Drosophila melanogaster: one gene and its partner. The protein of the gene in region 1 interacts with the protein of each later gene in a pairwise test. Each region holds a gene or a part of one and is shown in the gene's direction. Other genes may lie near its edges.

The links.
Region 2: the proteins of Set8 (region 1) and hb interact in a two-hybrid assay, tested with the Drosophila melanogaster proteins (one large-scale study listed by BioGRID).

Annotation. Positions count from the first base shown.
Region 1 is NT_033777.3:14,312,989-14,321,664, forward strand, and holds Set8 (SET domain containing 8), read left to right. Parts: upstream 1-3,049; 5' UTR 3,050-3,215; intron 3,216-3,322; 5' UTR 3,323-3,392; intron 3,393-3,488; 5' UTR 3,489-3,623; coding exon 3,624-3,879; intron 3,880-3,950; coding exon 3,951-5,770; 3' UTR 5,771-7,506; downstream 7,507-8,676. Other genes in the region: CG31321 (uncharacterized protein), read left to right, coding at 1-113, 177-438, 502-619, 831-987, 1,054-1,186; Crz (corazonin), read left to right, coding at 1,948-2,162, 2,372-2,621. UniProt on the Drosophila melanogaster protein: Histone methyltransferase that specifically monomethylates 'Lys-20' of histone H4. H4 'Lys-20' monomethylation is enriched during mitosis and represents a specific tag for epigenetic transcriptional repression.
Region 2 is NT_033777.3:8,691,138-8,701,078, reverse strand, and holds hb (hunchback), read left to right. Parts: upstream 1-3,256; 5' UTR 3,257-3,753; intron 3,754-6,478; exon of another isoform or gene 6,479-6,623; intron 6,624-6,906; 5' UTR 6,907-6,924; coding exon 6,925-9,201; 3' UTR 9,202-9,590; downstream 9,591-9,941. UniProt on the Drosophila melanogaster protein: Gap class segmentation protein that controls development of head structures.

The DNA of each region.
Region 1 (8,676 bases):
CCCAAAGTGGAGGTGGTGCCGCCAAAACGATCACTCTTGAAGGAACTTTTCGATCCCACCCTGGTGCTGGACTGCATCCGTTTTCCGCTGGTCAAGCGACCCAATAACGGCAGGTGATCCAGCCACAAGAAGTCCATACCGCATGGATTACCACTCAAGATGTCCTATGTTTTCAGAATGTTGCTAATCCTGCTGCTGTGTGCCTACTTCCTGACCGTCGGGCCCACTTCCGGTGAGAACGACTATTGGTATCGATTCACGCTGAAGAAGCTCGCCTGGAACGGCAACGACTTTAGTATCTACCTCACCCTGTCCAGTGGCGCTGCACTGGTGGGCACCTTCATTGGCACTGCCATCTTGAGCAAGCTACTCAAGGTCTCCGACTCCATGATTGGCATGCTCTCCGCCCTGTCCATTGTCTGTTCCCGCGTCCTTTTCGTAAGTTTTTAGATTCTAGTTGGAATTCAGTGGTATATATGCATAGTTTTTGAATTCCTGCAGGCCTTCTCCAGCAGCACTGCCTCATTTTACGTTGCTGGTGTGGTGGACATGTTCGTCAGTCTGCGAGTGATTGCCATCAAGACCATCGGTTCGAGCATTGTGGCTGGCGACGAGCTGAGTAAGTTTACTAAGGTCAACGCTATAGTCTCGACTATAAGATACCGGTTAGTCAGACGAGAGAGATTGATATTCAGATAGCAGAATTTGAATGCTTTGGAATGCAGTTGAAATGTGGTTGCGTCTAATTAGTAAATACACTTTCGGGCTAAGCTACTTTTAGAGTGGATTTTATTTTTTTAAATAAATAATAATAACTAAATAATTTTCAGGCAAAATGTACTCCATCTTTGGCATCAGTGAGCCAATTGCCCAATTCATTTTCCCGCCAATCTTCAGTGAGATTTACAAGAGCACGGTGGATTCATTCCCAGGTGCCATTTGGCTCTTTGGCGAAATCTTCTACATTCCCAATGTCTTGGTCTTCGTGTAAGTTATTTAAGGTTTTCATAAGTTAACTCTAAATTTATAAATGATTTTTTTTTTTAATTCTAGTGTGTGCTACTTCCTGCTGCGGCGTCGAAAGGCCAACGAGGAGAAGAGCGTCGTGGAAATGGAGCAGAATGGTGGAGCAAATGGTGGCAATCGGGCAAGCGTGGTGCCCGATAGCGAAATAACTAGTCTGTAACGTACTTAATGCCAGTCCGTGTTATATATATATTTTTATATATTTATAATATAAATTGTATATTTTTTGTATATTTATAGGGAATTTTTATAGCATTTTATATTACCAACGAGTTGATCTTTAACTTTCATTTGCTGAAAGTGTGAGTTTAAAGTTAGTAAGCATATTAAAAACAGTTGTAACTAGTCCACATATAACTTAATTAAAGTCGTTGCTATTTTTGGCCGAGTCCATTTGCAAATCCATTTACCTGAGGTCATCCAAGTCTAATTTGGACATTTTACTCCCCTTTTGGAGTGGGAAGAAAATTACTTTTTCGGCTCAAGCATTTTATTTTAAGCCTTTTGCCTTTTGCCTTTTGCCACCCACTTTCGGATTTTGCCCGGGAAAAGTGGTAGTTTTCCAATCAGCAAATGCATTCAGTTTGAGCAGCCAGCTGTCGTTGGTACAAGGGGCGGTGGCGGCAGCTGGGGGCGTGGCCACATGTGGGCGCTAACTGCCAAGTTGAAACAATTGGGTGCTAATAATCCCCGGTTAATCTGGGTAAGTGTGTGTTTCTGGAGGGCATTGAAGCAAGGATTCTGGAGGAAAACGCAGACACATCACGCATCCTTTGGCATCAATCCTTAATGGCTATCTAACAACGATATAAAAGCCCGTCGAGGAGCATCAATAGTTCAGACGCAGTTGTGATTCGAACGCGAAAGGAACCAACCGAGATTACCGAGTGTCCTGCAAACAGGACTAACTTCTGCCGAAACATGTTGCGCCTCCTGCTGCTGCCCCTCTTCCTCTTCACGCTCTCCATGTGCATGGGCCAGACCTTCCAGTACTCCCGCGGATGGACCAACGGCAAGAGGTCCTTTAACGCCGCATCTCCCCTCCTGGCCAACGGCCATCTCCATCGGGCCAGCGAGCTGGGACTCACGGATCTCTACGATTTGCAGGATTGGAGCAGCGATCGTAGGCTCGAGCGGTAAGTTTCATCGAAAGAATAACAGAAATATACAACTTTATTTTTAAAATACATAAAGAATATGATAACCCAAAAACATTCCATTAGATACCTATTAAAATCATATAACTAAGGAATTATATATTATAATTGCCCTACTTATACACTTCATTCCTACTTATTTTCTTGTTTTTTATGTATTAAAGTAATATTTTAAAATTTTCCTCCAGCTGTCTATCGCAGCTCCAACGTTCACTGATTGCCAGAAACTGTGTCCCCGGTTCGGACTTCAATGCCAACCGAGTAGATCCGGATCCCGAAAACAGCGCCCATCCCAGACTGAGCAACTCTAATGGCGAGAATGTTTTGTACTCAAGTGCCAATATCCCCAACAGACATCGCCAGTCCAACGAACTCCTAGAAGAGCTGAGTGCCGCTGGAGGAGCATCCGCCGAACCCAATGTGTTTGGAAAACATTAGCCACTATCCGTTCAATGTGAAATCTATTGTAAACTAGCAAAAAATGCTACAAAAATGTAAAAAAAATTGTTGTAAACGGTTAATAAAACACAGGATTTTTATGAATTACTTAACTGTCTTTTTTTAATATCCAAGAAGAGTATTTTAAATATTTAAATAGTGTAAATAATAGAGTTGTTTCAGATACCATTTACATGAGGTCATTAGAAAATGTATGTAATAAATCCAAAACCTTCGTCTTTTTCTAATGGTACCATTAGACCACTTAGATATAAATAATTCATATTTAGTCAAATTGATTTAACATATCTTTTTCAACTTAATACTTTAGTACTGCCCAACACAGCTTTAAAACATGCTGAAAATATGAAAATATACTGAATTTGGTATTACAAAATGAGGCCGCATACACGAGAGGTGAAAGCAGATGCGCAATCTGGTAACACTAACCGACGCAAAAAAGAAAGAACCAAAAAAGTTTGCGGAAAAGTGCAACAATTAATTTCCCCCGCCATTGAAATGCTGCCATGCATAAAGTCGATCGCATCCGTTTAAAAATGCGCTTCTGCGTATGACGACAGTTTTCCGAGCGAGGTGCATTGCGGGGACTCACATTATTTTCCCTCTTTTTTTCCCTTCTTTTGGTCTTCTTCCTCTTTCGCTCGCTTCGCACAACAACAATAACGACTACGTTTTTTCAGTGGCGAAAACTGTACGCAAGAGGGGCGAGTAGAGGAGAAAAGTGCATGGCAGAGAGCGAGAGTAAGAGAGGTAGAAAAGGAGGAAAAAAAAACACACATGTAATGTGCAATTGTTTTATGAGTTCTACGTTAATTTTGTTGTTTGTTTTTTTTCGGTTACCTTCAGGTAATTGCAGTTTGGTTTTTCCGCGTGTGCGTGTGAGAGGTAAAACGCGTGTCCAGAAAAAAACGCGCCAACGCCAAAAAAAAACCCAAGTAACTACCGCCCACACAGCGATCACGCGCCCCCAACCCATTTTAAATGATAATGGTGCGAAGACGACAACGGCCCGCCAAGGAAGCCGCATCCTCATCCTCTGGTGGAGCTTCCTCGGGATCGGGAATTCCTGTTGACCAGGCACTGCCACTGAATGTGGCGGGAAATCTGCTGGAGGATCAGTATTTTGCCAGCCCCAAGCGGAAAGACTGCCGTTTGATGAAGGTCACTCAAAATGGCCAACTGCCGGAAGCCACAATGATGGCACACAACAAAGACAACAAAGCGGGTCGCACAATAGGTGAGTACGCTTCTCGTACTTTTTAGGTTAGCTGTGTTGGCTAAAATACCCCTTGTTTGTTATTTTTCAAGGAGTTCCCTTGGCCACGCGCTCACAAACTCGCACCATTGAGAACTTCTTCAAAGCCAATGCTGCCGCTAAGGATTCCCAAAAGACAATACACACAGAGGAGCAGTTGAATCTAGGAAATCAGGAACTGAAACTGGACGATGAGGAGCTAAATGGACAGATAAAACTAGATGACGAGGTGCTAAAGCTGGCAGACAAGCAGATAAATGAAAACCTTCCCTTTGCCGACGAAGTAGATGCCAAGGCAGAACAAAAGCTTATGGATGAGGAACTGCAGCAGGTGGTGGAGGAACTTCTGTTCGATGGCAGTTCCAGAGCGTCCTCCAATTCGCCCTTTTATCAGCATGATATGGATGTCATGCAGGAGATCCAGCAGACTCCAGAAATTCCACACATCAAAAAGGTCACAGAGCCGCTCGAGGGACTGGGCTCTCTGGCCGACTTCCAGACACATCGCTCTGCGCTGAGGGACAGCCACAGTTCCACGCACAGCAGCAGCACCGACAACATCTTCCTGCAGGAGCCGGTACTGACCCTGGACATTGATCGCACGCCCACCAAAGCCTCCAGCATAAAGATCAATCGGAGCTTCGAACTGGCCGGAGCCGTATTCTCATCACCTCCGTCGGTGCTAAACGCCTGTCTCAATGGACGCTTCAATCAAATAGTAAGCCTGAATGGACAAAAGGAGGCGCTGGACTTGCCGCACTTCGATTTGGATCAACATGACAGTAGTTCTTGCGACAGCGGAGTAGCCTGTGGTCTCACTGCCAATACAGAATCGCCAGCGGGGCAACCCCGACGCAGAAAACCAGCCACACCGCATCGCATCCTCTGCCCCTCGCCAATCAAAACGGCTTTGAAGGTAACTGGAGGGATTTGCAAGGTCGGATCTGCGGATCCATTGTCGCCGCGCAAGTCTCCTCGAAAACTGCCGACCACAACAGCAGCGGTGGCAGCCTGCAAGTCGCGTCGAAGACTGAACCAGCCAAAGCCACAAGCGCCTTACCAGCCACAGCTACAGAAACCACCGTCACAACAGCAGCAGCAGCAGCAGGATGATATCGTCGTGGTGCTAGACGACGACGATGATGAAGGAGATGACGAGGACGACGTTCGAGCCCTGATCAAGGCTGCCGAGGAGCGTGAAAACCAGAACAAAGCACCAGCCACAGCGAACAGCAACAAAGCAGGCATGAAAACGATGCTCAAGCCTGCGCCCGTGAAATCAAAGACCAAAAGCAAGGGGCCAACGAAGGGACAACCGCCGCTGCCCTTGGCTGCCACCAACGGCAATCGTGAGATGACGGACTTCTTCCCGGTGCGAAGGAGTGTGCGCAAGACTAAGACGGCCGTCAAGGAGGAATGGATGCGAGGCTTGGAGCAAGCAGTGCTGGAAGAGCGCTGCGATGGTCTCCAAGTACGCCACTTTATGGGCAAGGGAAGAGGCGTAGTCGCCGATCGGCCCTTTAAACGCAACGAATTTGTGGTTGAGTATGTGGGAGATCTCATATCTATAGGCGAAGCCGCGGAACGGGAGAAACGCTATGCGTTGGACGAGAATGCTGGGTGCTATATGTACTACTTCAAGCACAAGTCCCAGCAGTACTGCATCGATGCAACCGTTGACACCGGCAAGCTGGGGCGCCTCATCAATCACTCGCGGGCTGGTAACCTAATGACCAAAGTAGTACTTATCAAACAGCGGCCGCATCTCGTACTCCTGGCCAAGGACGACATCGAGCCGGGCGAGGAACTGACCTATGACTACGGGGACCGATCGAAGGAGTCACTATTGCACCATCCTTGGTTGGCCTTCTGAGGAAGAGCTCTCCAGGAGCTCGCGAAAGGGGTTGCGGTACAGCCTTAAAACGAAGACTATTTACCATGTTCAGGGCAGAGAATCTTTAAAATAATAAGACCTGGGCTAAACTGGTTTTTGGCTCGAGGGAATCTTTCTTAGCTTTTATACGTAGATTGCCTTGCCTTGAACCACTGCAAAATTGTTTTCAGACCTGTTTCCGTGTGATAAGTTGCCGGAATTTGATTCATTTACAAAGTTTCATTAAGCAAAATTATATCAATATTGCAAGCACTTATATTTTTGGTAAGACCAATTCAATCATTACGAATTCCGGCAATTTGGATCGGAATGGAGAGAGGCGTATTTGACACCGGTTCTGGGCAGCCCCGAGCTTAGATCTTATTTGAGGAAAAGTATATAAACTGTTAGTTCAAAATATCATAACGGATAGCGAAACCCACACGCCCCACACCCAAGGGTGGTTCCAGCCAGGGACGAAAAGTAATCAATGTAAATTCTAACAAGTTTGCCTCAGAAATAGGTCTAATGTCAATTTCGATCTTCGGCGTTACCAAAATAAGTTACAAATGAAGTTAATATTTCCCTTTGGGTCAGTGAAATAATCGAAATTATCAATTAAGAACAAATTTATCAAAAAGACCTAGACTATACAGATTGTAAATTGATATTAGACCCATGATCCCCAAAGCAAAATGCCTTTAAATTGTACGATTACGATTCAATCCCTATAAGACTCATTATCGATCCACCCGTGATCCAAGCAACCCCCCCCTCCCCCTCCCTCCTTACACAAACTCATGAGCATCTTTTTGGATTTGTTAGCGTTTCATTATGTTTAGAGCAAGGCTAAAGTTAAGGAGAGATAATAATGATAATAATAATAATAAAAACAACGCGCTTAAGCATTAAGGCATCTTAAGATAATTGAATGAAATCGAAAAACTGTTGACCATTTGAAAAGAGATGATGATGTTGATGAAGCCACGCATTCACATTGACAAGAATCGATTGTACACTATTTATATAGATATTTATATTAGATACATGTGTAATTTCTAACTATTACGTACTATTTACTGCCATAGAGCTATACACTCCCCCTCGCACCTGTCCCAAAAAAAAAAAAAAAACCCCTAGGAACTGACACTACTGAATTGTTGATTTAACCCATTGACACACTCATTAATTCTCGAGGCTTCTCCAGGAGAGTAGTGGCCTGCTGGACACCTAGTGCTTCGACTTACTGATAATCTCTCTACTTACACGCAGGTTTCAATCACACACTCAAGCAATTAAATGATAAATCACCCCGCCCCTGCCCCCGAAAATACGGCATCGTTAGTTAATCGACTTAGTTCAAATTTGTGTTGTCCCATTTGAACCAGATTTCTGTATTTTAAATGAATGCTCCAATATATTGAAGGATTTTGTTTTTTTAAATAGGTTTATTTTAATCAGCGCATATCTTTTAATTATACAATATGGTAAATATATTTTAATACGTTCTAGTACATAGGTAATTCATTTATTTAAAACCAAGCAGCAACCATCTATAATCATGTTCTTGTTTTTACCTTTTTTTTTCATTGACTTGGCAAAATGAAACAAAACAAATTGAAATCTATTTGTAATTTACATTTAAGCCTAAAAACATATGATTACATCAAACACTTAGTTTTAGTCGATAATTGTTTATAATTTTTCAGACACACACACACACAGACACATTCAACTTAAAGTGCGTAACATAAAGTAAAATAAATAAATGAAAACACATTAACACGAACAAAACAATAATCAAGAACTGGAGCGGATTGGGTTTCGTTTTCCAGCGATTACCTGGAGATCATCATGGCAACCAGTCACACTCATTTACACTTGGAATGCATGGGAGTTCTTCTATCAACTAACAAATCCTATTTCATATACAACACGTTAACTATGTTTGCTTGGTTAGTTCGCTTTCCTGTCGCTTGTTATAAGTACACAATATAGAAAAAATTCGCATCAGGCGGGTTGGGTTTTCATCCATGTGGTGGTGGTGGCCCGCAATCGCATTGGAGTATTTGTTATGGATATACAAAAGGGGAAGTTCGCCGCTAGTGGAATGCATTTGTAGGCTTTGCCGCAGGGATTAACTGATGATATTCCTCAGATAGGCGGAGTTTTCCGATTTAGGGTTCTAACTTTGGGGTTGATTAAAGCTAAAATCATCATGGAACTAATAGTTTTACATTTTTAAAAGTAATGCCGATTTTTTCCTTACTTGGGATACTTCCGAAATCCTTGTTATTAATTTGTATCTTTTCTTTTTTGGTCATCTATGATAAATCTTATGTTGTTATATTGATATGACCGCATAGAGATATTGCATGCTATCGGATGCATAAGCTTAAACCTTAAAATCTCGCAGGATTTCAGAAATATCCCTTAAATTACATAATTTCACTGGTGTGCGGTATTCTTTTTCGTTTTACTTTACAATTCTTCTAGAGTTTTTTGACTTATTTACCCAATAATTCGAATTCTAAAAGTATATCCGATCATTTAAATAATATTAGATAAAAACAAAGAATTTTTCAAGCATACTAACAGTTTTTTCGCTCTACAAAATATTATTTTTCAAAAGTATAATTTTTTTCGTCAAATTAAGTAAAACATAAATTTAGAATCAAACTATAGCACAAAATGGTTACTTGTTTGTTTCGTTCTAAATCCTGATTTTTACGCCTAAGACTACAACATGCATGCACAACAACAACAACAATTATGCCAACGACAAGGTTAACAACAACGACAACAACATGGAACACAGCTTGCCTCAAAACTACAATGTGTGACGGTTCGGATTATGGTGAATATCAGACGGATTCATAATACTGACTGGCTACCCGGGTGCGCGA
Region 2 (9,941 bases), 5.6 Mb from region 1:
TGTGTCTTTCGAAGTTTCTCGCGATTTTCCAGCTACTTTCATTGTTAATCGAAGGTCTTACCTGACCAAAACAAACCGGGACCGAAGCGAAATCTATGGAATAACATGCAAAGCGAGTTGCCTTCATAAAATCTCGTGGCGTGTCGACTGGAAATCCACCAGACGATTGTCCTGCGCGTCCTGCCGTCGTCCTTCGCACTATTGTTTGGCCGCATAGCCAATTTTACGGCGTAACCATTAAGGCGGACAATGAAAATTAGAGCAACTATTCGCCCTGCCCCGGGACCTCTGCTCTAGTTTCCTTTTTTAATCCTTCGGTTTTTCGTGCTAAAAAAGGATTTACGGATGTTGGCCGAACGCCCGTGTACACAGCCATCCTGTTTACCATAACATTTCGGCGGAATTTTAACGCAGCCCTCTCGCTTTCCACCCATTTTCGTGGGCGTAACCCGCGAGCACTTTTCGCATCTGATTTATGCGAAATGTTAATTTTTGCGGCTTCCTAAGGGCTTCGACATGCCGGAGAAGTGTGCAAAATTCACCAGCGAATGTAGCAGAGATTTGCAAGTGTTTTTTTTTTTTTTTGCTACCTAAGGACCACAGGACTTTTTGGTAAATTGTTTGGTTTTGTTAGGGAGTAAACCACGAAGTGACTGAGCACAACGTTCTAGTCATATATAAGCGATAAGTATTATGAATCGAATACTTACTGTCGTTTCAAACTACACCAAAAATTATAAATTCAACATTTTTGAAAAAAAAAAAAACTAACATCATTGAACCTATCCTTTTGGATAGGTTTCTAATTGATTCAATACAGGATTACTCTTATATAATCTAAACTTTTTTAATCAGCTTCCAAAACCTTTAAGTATGCAACTACTCTCGAACAGCACTCTAGCCAACAGTAGCGCATAAATCTAAGTAATTGTGTGGCGAAACCAATTTGCACTTAAGATCAAAGAGCCAAATCGCCGTACAATAACCACACAAACCAAAACAGCCAAAAAAGAGAATCCCCTTCAGAAGGAAAGAAAAAACCTGAAGTAAAATGGCAAATCATCCTTGGCATGAAATCAGCTTACGAACTCAAGGTGATATCTCAACAGGCCGCAGGACAAAGGTCAGCAGAAGAGTGCGCCAAATCAAAACACAAAAAAAAGTGAAATCCTAATGAGATACTCCCTCCAGGGGCGAATCGGTCGACCACAAAATCCCAAGCGCTTGGCTGCACATCTTACAGATACATTTGCATATCATTTGGGAGATGCGAAGATCATGAGATAAAGATGTGCGGATCCGCCCTGTTGATCTGCCCAATCTTCCCCTCGAAGGAACTTCTGTTGAGACAGCCGCAGGCCAAAGGTTAAGGATAAGGATCATTTGCATGCGTGGCATGGACTTTCGGCAATTAGACGATCATGATCATCAGCATGTTTGTGTTTGTCCCGATCACCGGATAGGTATATCGCAGCTCATCAATTAAAAGGTCAAGCGTGACGGTCCTTGGGACTATTTGTTATGTCCTTAACTTCAACTTTACATAACTTTCCAAACGTAACTGGGTAGGATCCACACAGCACCCGCCCGCCTAAGCAACGCTAATCGGGCTGATCAGCGAACGCTAATCGCTCGGGACTAACTGGATCCTCCGGATCAGCGGCGCTGATCCTGCGTGATCCTGCGTACTGCGTAATGTTGGATTATGTCCTGTGCAGAAGTACGGCCAACTTTTAAATCGCTTTTAAATCCACATCACTCTAGTTCCAGTCGCACTTCTTCGGATGCGCGGATTAATGAACTGGGCGGGCCGATCAGGTAGCTTTGCGTCCTTTAATCCTTTCTTCGCTAAGTCCGGTTGCAGTTCGTATTCGTAATCCGGTTTGCCATGTCAACGTCAATGGCAGGTCTACCTCCGGTACTACCTGTTCCCGAGACGTCCTTTTGACACATATATTCCTCTGGATATGTGAGAGCAACTTGTATAATTTGCATTCCGGCGGCGATTTGTTTGCTCTGTTGTTTTGTAAATATTGCTTTTACATTTTCCCCACCCCCTCTGCCAACGCCCTAATTTCTCCCCGTTCCACTTTAGTTTTAGCCAAAATATTCGACATAAACAGGAGATTTTAGCCCAAATATTCCACATAAACAGGAGATTGAATAAAATAGCTGGAGGCACATTAATTCCGAACTTAATTATGAATTTGCATGTATGTTTTCTTTAGAAAAACTCTGATCCATACAAATAATAAGTTATCCTTTTGTATTGTATAGAGAAAAAAAGGTTTTTACCAATGAACTATGAATAATGAATAATAATAATAGTTTTTTTTTTTAGTCCAAAATTTGTCATTAAACCTAGTTAGAACAATCGCTCCTAATTTATCATTCTAAAAGCGAACATTCCGCTTGGGAAAAAAATTGGTCTAAACCGAATGATACTATTAATGATATGCATTTATTGCTAACCATAATCCTTGTCAAGCTAACAATGATACATTTTCCGAAATTAGCTTAAAAAGGTGGAATACACCCAATATGCACAAACTACCTTAAGGAGATTTGGAATTTCGAATGCTAATTGTGGCAAAGCTTTGCCCAAATTAAGTTAACACGCACAGCAACAGGAAAATGTGTTAAAGCAACAAGGAATCTCCTCGGCCCAAACTTCCATCGTCCCAATTGCAGTTGGCTAAGTTGTTAATGTGTCTGGGCTTAAAGTTGCCCAAAAAACAATTGGCGAAGGCCCCCCATCTTCCTCCATTTCCGCTCTCTCACTTTTGGGCCAGAAATCAATAATCAATAGTGAAGCGGAGATGCCAAAAAACGGCAAAGAGCCAAAAAGGCAGCTGCATTCGGCCAAAATGCAGCGCCAGAAAATGCAAAAGGATAAAATGAGCGAGTCAGAGCGAGAGAGTGGGTGAGTGAGTGAAAGAGCGAACGCCACGAAGGGGATGCTGTTTAGTTATTGCTTTTGGGGATGGGGAAAGTCACTCAGATTTACAGCTAGCATCCGTATCCGTTTTGAGTGAGTTTCGTCGTTACGTTGTTGATGCTCTCCGGCTGCTCTCTCATTTCGATTTCTGCTTCTCCGTGTAACGGCTCTCGTGCGCCTTTGTGTTGTTGCACTTCTGGCATTTGTTTTTGCTTTGCAATTGAGATTTTAGATTTGAGTTCTTTTTTGGCGAGTGCACTGTTGTGAGGAGCAGTGAGGAGATTTTCAGCTATTAGAAGAGCCCGCTGAGCGTGAGTTTGGTCAGTTGTGCTCCGAGTCCCGAAAACGAAAGTCGCCAGCATTGACAGGCAGCCACTGAAATACAAAAATAACCAAACATCCAAAGGACGAAACGTAACTGCTATCAAAACAAATATTGCCATTAAATACAATTAAACTTCGTGCTTGTGCTAAAAGATAACCAATTGCAAAAAGACTTTTGTCCCGAAAACTTATTTTTTGGCAAAGACCACATCCCGCACATGCGCGAATTCCGCGAAAAAGAAAGCACAAAAGCAAGCTAAAAAGCGAGGCCCAAAAAATAGACAAAAACGAAGAGCAAGGAGCCCCCACATCGCCGCTCCCCCTCGCACGCACTGTGCGTGTTGGTCTAACGGTAACCGTGCCGCGGTCAAGCGAGAGAGTGGGAAAGAGAGAGTCCGCGAGCGAAAAGCGAAAACTTACGTGCTCCTGCTCCTGCTCCCGGTTCCCGTTTCCAAATTCTCCCGCAGAATTGCACTTGGACTGTCCGCAAGGTAAGTAACTGGGCGTACCATCCAATATCCTAGTTATACACTGCATTCGACCTCCAATAAATCGTAAAAAACACATGGAGGTAGAAATTCGCAAAAGCTTTCCGCGGATAAACAAATAAACAAGAATTACAAATCGCTTTTGCGGGAGCAAATGCCAAAATGTTGGGGTATCCAGAATATACACAGTTTTTGTGAGGATTTACATACGCCCTGTAAATTTTAATTTAGTTCTCAATTGATACGAAATCTGTTTTTTTTTATAGAATATATTCGATATATAGTTGTTTAATTATAATTCATCATGTGATATACTTTCAAAAGAAACAGATTTAAATAGTTCGTTTATATGCTATTATGCACTATGCTTAATGTATTTTACTTTATTAATTCATGCTAATCTGATGACTGATAACCAATTTGCTTATTCTATGTCATAATCACCTTTAATCCCAAGTACTCAACTTTCTTCTAGTTCTGCACATTTTCTTGTTCTCTTCTTGTTGTTTGTAATCGAGTGCTTCTTTTTCTGTCTAACCTTAGGAACACAAACAAGAGATCTCACACACATGCACACACACAACCACACAGAGTGGTAAATCATTGCTAAAAATGCAAATGGCAAAAATTCTAAAACAATATTTTAAAATCTGTCTGGCTTTTGGCCGATCTTCGGGTGAACTTGTTTTTTGCCCGCTCTGTCTGTTTTTGCCTAGAACTGCAGCGTATATCCAACCCCCAACCGACCCCCCCCCCTCCTCATTTGCTCCTCCTAAGCAACGCCCCTGGCCACGCCCCCCTCTACGCCTGACAGCTAATTTTATTTGTTTACATGTCGACTTTCATGTTGTTTTTTTTTCGCCTTCCTGCCCCCCAAATAACCCCTTCAATTTTTAGCATTTCTTTTCGCTCTTCTTTCGGCAAATGCATTTTCGACTTTTCTTTTTTAATAATTTAAATTTAGACATCGAACTATAATTCAAAGTCAACGTGGCAATTTTTTAATGGCAAATAGTTCGGCACTTGCCAAAATGCATTTCAAATATAATGAATACACCTATGTGACGCTCGCAGGCTTTGTTTTTTTTTTTTGTTTAGGATGATGATGGGAATCATTATTGCACGATCTTTTGCAGAATTGATTGTCATCCGACAGTTTTAATGTTTGCCGACAAAAAGAACTGAGCGCATTTCAAACAAATGGGGCTTTGTTAGGCGCATAAAAATAAATATGCACATATTATACGGGATATATTTATAAACCGCAAATGACATTGAATCACTTCAGTCAGCAGCAGCAGTGCAGTTTTCCCTAAACGAATGCAGCTCCAAAAAACAACAAGTTGTTCTAAGCCAACAACATAACGGTTGCAACTACACATATGTATACGCATACATACATATATTTTATATACGCCTGCAAACAAGCAGGCATATCCTGCTCTTGGCTTGCTTTTTGTACGGATTTTTCAACAAAAACATTTTTTGTGTGGCGCATTTTCTGCGTTTTCGAATTTTTCCATTTTTGCCATTTTCATGATATTTTTAGAGGGTTAAAAAGGGGGCGGTGTTGGGGTGGGGGGGGAGGCACCAAAAACGACTAGCACATGTTTAGTTTACTTTTGCAGTTTCGGTTGCCTGGCTGCACTCGTTGTGGCCACACCACGCCACTAACCCCCACTGCATGGTCCCCATGCCCCCACCCCTGCCCCCTTGGCCCATGCCCCTGCCCGGCGTAATATTAATTTTACACTTGGCCTTTAGTTTGGCTTTGTTGCTGTTGTTGGGCATGGCACAAAAAAGCCCAGACGAAAGGCGAAAATTCTCTTTGTTTCATAGTGCGCACACACACTAACACACTTGCCGAGCAATTAATTTTGGCTTTCTTTAAAAATATCCACAAAAGCGAATTTAAATAAATATGCTAAGCTTCATTTTGTGTGGTGCACTTTCTGTTTCCTGAACCATCAATTATGCCTAAGTATTGTAGATATTTTAGCTGCCAGATAGCACAGCACCATCCTCCCATAATAATATTCCGTAAATGCCCCTTTTTCCCGTTTTGCGTTTTTAATAATATTTACTTGAAAGCACAAACAATTAGCCAAAAATGCAGCAACTGCACAATTTTTCAGTGTGAAATTGGAAATGGAAAAAATATAGGCAACAAGCAATTTTAATGCGAGAATTATTAGAAAAACTACGCAAATCAAAGTGAAATGTCTGGCGGAAAATTGTTGTCAGGAAAATGTTTTTCAAATGGGTGTGTAATAATTATACTGCACATATTATGCATATAGTTTAGTTGGTCCTTAGAGTTTTCCCGCAGGTGTAAGCAGTTCTGATCCGTTAATTTAGTTAAGTCCCGCAATCCTTTTTACTTTTTATTATTAACTACGAAACTGCCCACGCTAGCTGCCTACTCCTGCTGTCGACTCCTGACCAACGTAATCCCCATAGAAAACCGGTGGAAAATTCGCAGCTCGCTGCTAAGCTGGCCATCCGCTAAGCTCCCGGATCATCCAAATCCAAGTGCGCATAATTTTTTGTTTCTGCTCTAATCCAGAATGGATCAAGAGCGCAATCCTCAATCCGCGATCCGTGATCCTCGATTCCCGACCGATCCGCGACCTGTACCTGACTTCCCGTCACCTCTGCCCATCTAATCCCTTGACGCGTGCATCCGTCTACCTGAGCGATATATAAACTAATGCCTGTTGCAATTGTTCAGTCAGTCACGAGTTTGTTACCACTGCGACAACACAACAGAAGCAGCACCAATAATATACTTGCAAATCCTTACGAAAATCCCGACAAATTTGGAATATACTTCGATACAATCGCAATCATACGCACTGAGCGGCCACGAAACGGTAGGATATTGTTAGCCATTACCAAGTGTCTCCATTTTGAACACAAAATCACTCAAATCGCCTTCAGGGGGTGGGTGCCGCCCAGCCACCCCTGACGTATTTTTTGTTAGGGGTGGTGCCGCAAGCACACCAAAAAAAGAGAAAAAAAAAATAAAAGCGAGGAAAAATAAAATGAAAAACAAGCGGAAAAAAAGAGGAAAAAACTCGACGCAGGCGCAGTGCATGAATGAATAAATGAATATGCCCACTAACCCCACTCTCTCTGTTTTCTTATCCATTACAGCCGTCTAGAGCCGCCAAGATGCAGAACTGGGAGACGACAGCCACGACCAACTACGAGCAGCACAACGCCTGGTACAACAGCATGTTCGCGGCAAATATCAAACAGGAGCCAGGTCATCATCTCGACGGGAATAGCGTGGCCAGCAGTCCGCGCCAATCGCCCATTCCCTCGACCAATCACCTGGAACAGTTCCTCAAGCAGCAGCAGCAGCAGCTTCAGCAGCAACCCATGGATACCCTGTGCGCCATGACCCCATCACCCAGCCAAAACGATCAAAACAGCCTGCAGCATTACGATGCTAACTTGCAGCAACAGTTGCTGCAGCAACAGCAGTACCAGCAGCATTTCCAGGCAGCCCAGCAGCAACATCATCACCATCACCATCTGATGGGTGGATTCAATCCGCTGACGCCACCTGGTCTGCCCAATCCCATGCAGCACTTCTATGGCGGCAATCTGCGACCCAGTCCGCAGCCCACGCCCACATCTGCCTCCACAATTGCGCCCGTTGCAGTTGCCACTGGCAGCAGCGAGAAGTTGCAGGCACTAACACCACCCATGGATGTCACACCGCCTAAGTCGCCGGCCAAGTCGAGTCAGTCGAATATTGAGCCGGAGAAGGAGCACGATCAGATGTCGAACTCCAGCGAGGACATGAAGTACATGGCCGAGTCCGAGGACGATGATACCAACATCCGGATGCCCATCTACAATTCGCACGGCAAGATGAAGAACTACAAGTGCAAGACCTGCGGCGTGGTGGCCATCACCAAGGTGGACTTCTGGGCGCACACCCGCACCCACATGAAACCAGACAAGATCCTGCAGTGCCCGAAGTGCCCGTTCGTCACCGAGTTCAAGCACCACTTGGAGTACCATATCCGGAAGCACAAGAACCAAAAGCCCTTCCAGTGCGACAAATGCAGCTACACGTGTGTCAACAAATCCATGCTAAACTCGCACCGCAAGTCGCACAGTTCTGTGTATCAGTACCGTTGTGCGGATTGTGATTACGCCACCAAGTATTGCCACAGCTTCAAGCTGCATCTGCGCAAGTATGGTCACAAGCCCGGCATGGTTTTGGACGAGGATGGCACCCCGAATCCCTCGTTGGTCATCGATGTTTACGGCACGCGTCGTGGTCCGAAGAGCAAGAATGGTGGACCGATTGCCAGTGGAGGAAGTGGCAGCGGCAGCCGGAAGTCAAATGTTGCAGCTGTCGCTCCGCAGCAACAGCAATCTCAGCCAGCTCAGCCAGTCGCCACATCTCAGCTGAGTGCCGCCCTGCAAGGATTCCCTCTGGTTCAAGGCAACTCCGCTCCTCCGGCGGCATCTCCAGTGCTCCCGCTGCCCGCCTCTCCTGCCAAGAGTGTGGCCAGTGTGGAACAGACGCCCAGCTTGCCCAGTCCAGCCAATCTTCTGCCTCCTCTGGCCAGCCTTCTGCAGCAGAACCGCAACATGGCCTTCTTCCCCTACTGGAACCTCAATCTCCAGATGCTGGCCGCCCAACAACAGGCCGCTGTCTTGGCCCAATTGTCGCCAAGAATGCGAGAGCAACTGCAGCAACAGAACCAGCAGCAGAGCGACAATGAGGAGGAGGAGCAGGACGATGAGTACGAGCGTAAGTCAGTGGACTCTGCCATGGATCTGTCCCAAGGAACGCCAGTGAAGGAGGATGAGCAGCAGCAACAACCGCAGCAGCCGCTGGCCATGAATCTCAAGGTGGAGGAGGAGGCCACGCCTCTGATGAGCAGCTCGAATGCCTCGAGACGCAAGGGACGCGTCCTCAAGCTGGACACCCTGTTACAACTGCGATCGGAGGCCATGACATCTCCCGAGCAACTGAAAGTACCCAGCACACCCATGCCAACTGCATCCTCGCCCATTGCCGGACGCAAACCCATGCCCGAGGAGCACTGCTCGGGCACCAGTTCGGCAGATGAGTCGATGGAGACGGCCCATGTGCCGCAGGCCAATACCAGTGCCAGTTCGACGGCGTCCAGCTCGGGGAACAGCTCCAATGCCAGCAGCAATAGCAACGGCAACAGCAGCAGCAATTCCAGCAGCAATGGAACCACCTCAGCGGTTGCAGCTCCTCCATCCGGAACTCCGGCGGCGGCGGGTGCCATCTACGAGTGCAAGTACTGTGATATCTTCTTCAAGGACGCCGTGCTCTACACCATTCACATGGGCTACCACAGCTGCGACGATGTGTTCAAGTGCAACATGTGCGGCGAGAAGTGCGACGGACCCGTCGGCCTCTTCGTTCACATGGCCAGGAATGCTCACTCCTAAGTTCCCCATCACCATCACCTTGTTATTATTATTTATCACTATTATCATATAATCGTTGTCCAGAATTGTATATATTCGTAGCATAAGTTTTCCAAACATTATTTTGTTGTCGAAAATTGTACATAAGCCAATTAAGCCGCTAATTCTAGACCTAAGTTTATCTAACTATCCTAACTGTATTGAACTGTAGCCACCTTTCAATCTGTCTCCTATACACTCTTGTATTTTCGAAATCGACTAAAAACCCTGAAAACGGTTTAAAAACTATCATAAATGCATGGAGAAACATAAGCCTAAGTTAAATCTAATTTGTAAGTTGAGTCAAGCGAAACAACCAAACAATACCAACAGTCCAAAGTCAAATTAATAAAATATAGTTTATAACATATACATAATGAGTATGTTTTCTAAAATAATTAATTAGTCTTATTTAACCTAACATATTCGTATATGCGCATAACACTCAGTTCTTTCTCTGATATTATTCTCTCAGTATTTTGTTAGTTGAAAGCGAATTCGAATCGAACGAAATCAAATCAAATAAATCCAATTATTCAATATAATTTCACAAGTTTTTCGCTTTTTTTTTTTGTTGTTAACCTTTTGGCAATAATGACAATATTTTCGATGCAACTGAAACTGACGAAAGAAGAAGTACAAATTTAGAGATTTTTAAAGAGTAGCTAAGATGCGCGAAATCTGAGCAACGGATCAAAATTAGTATTTACCCCATAAAATCT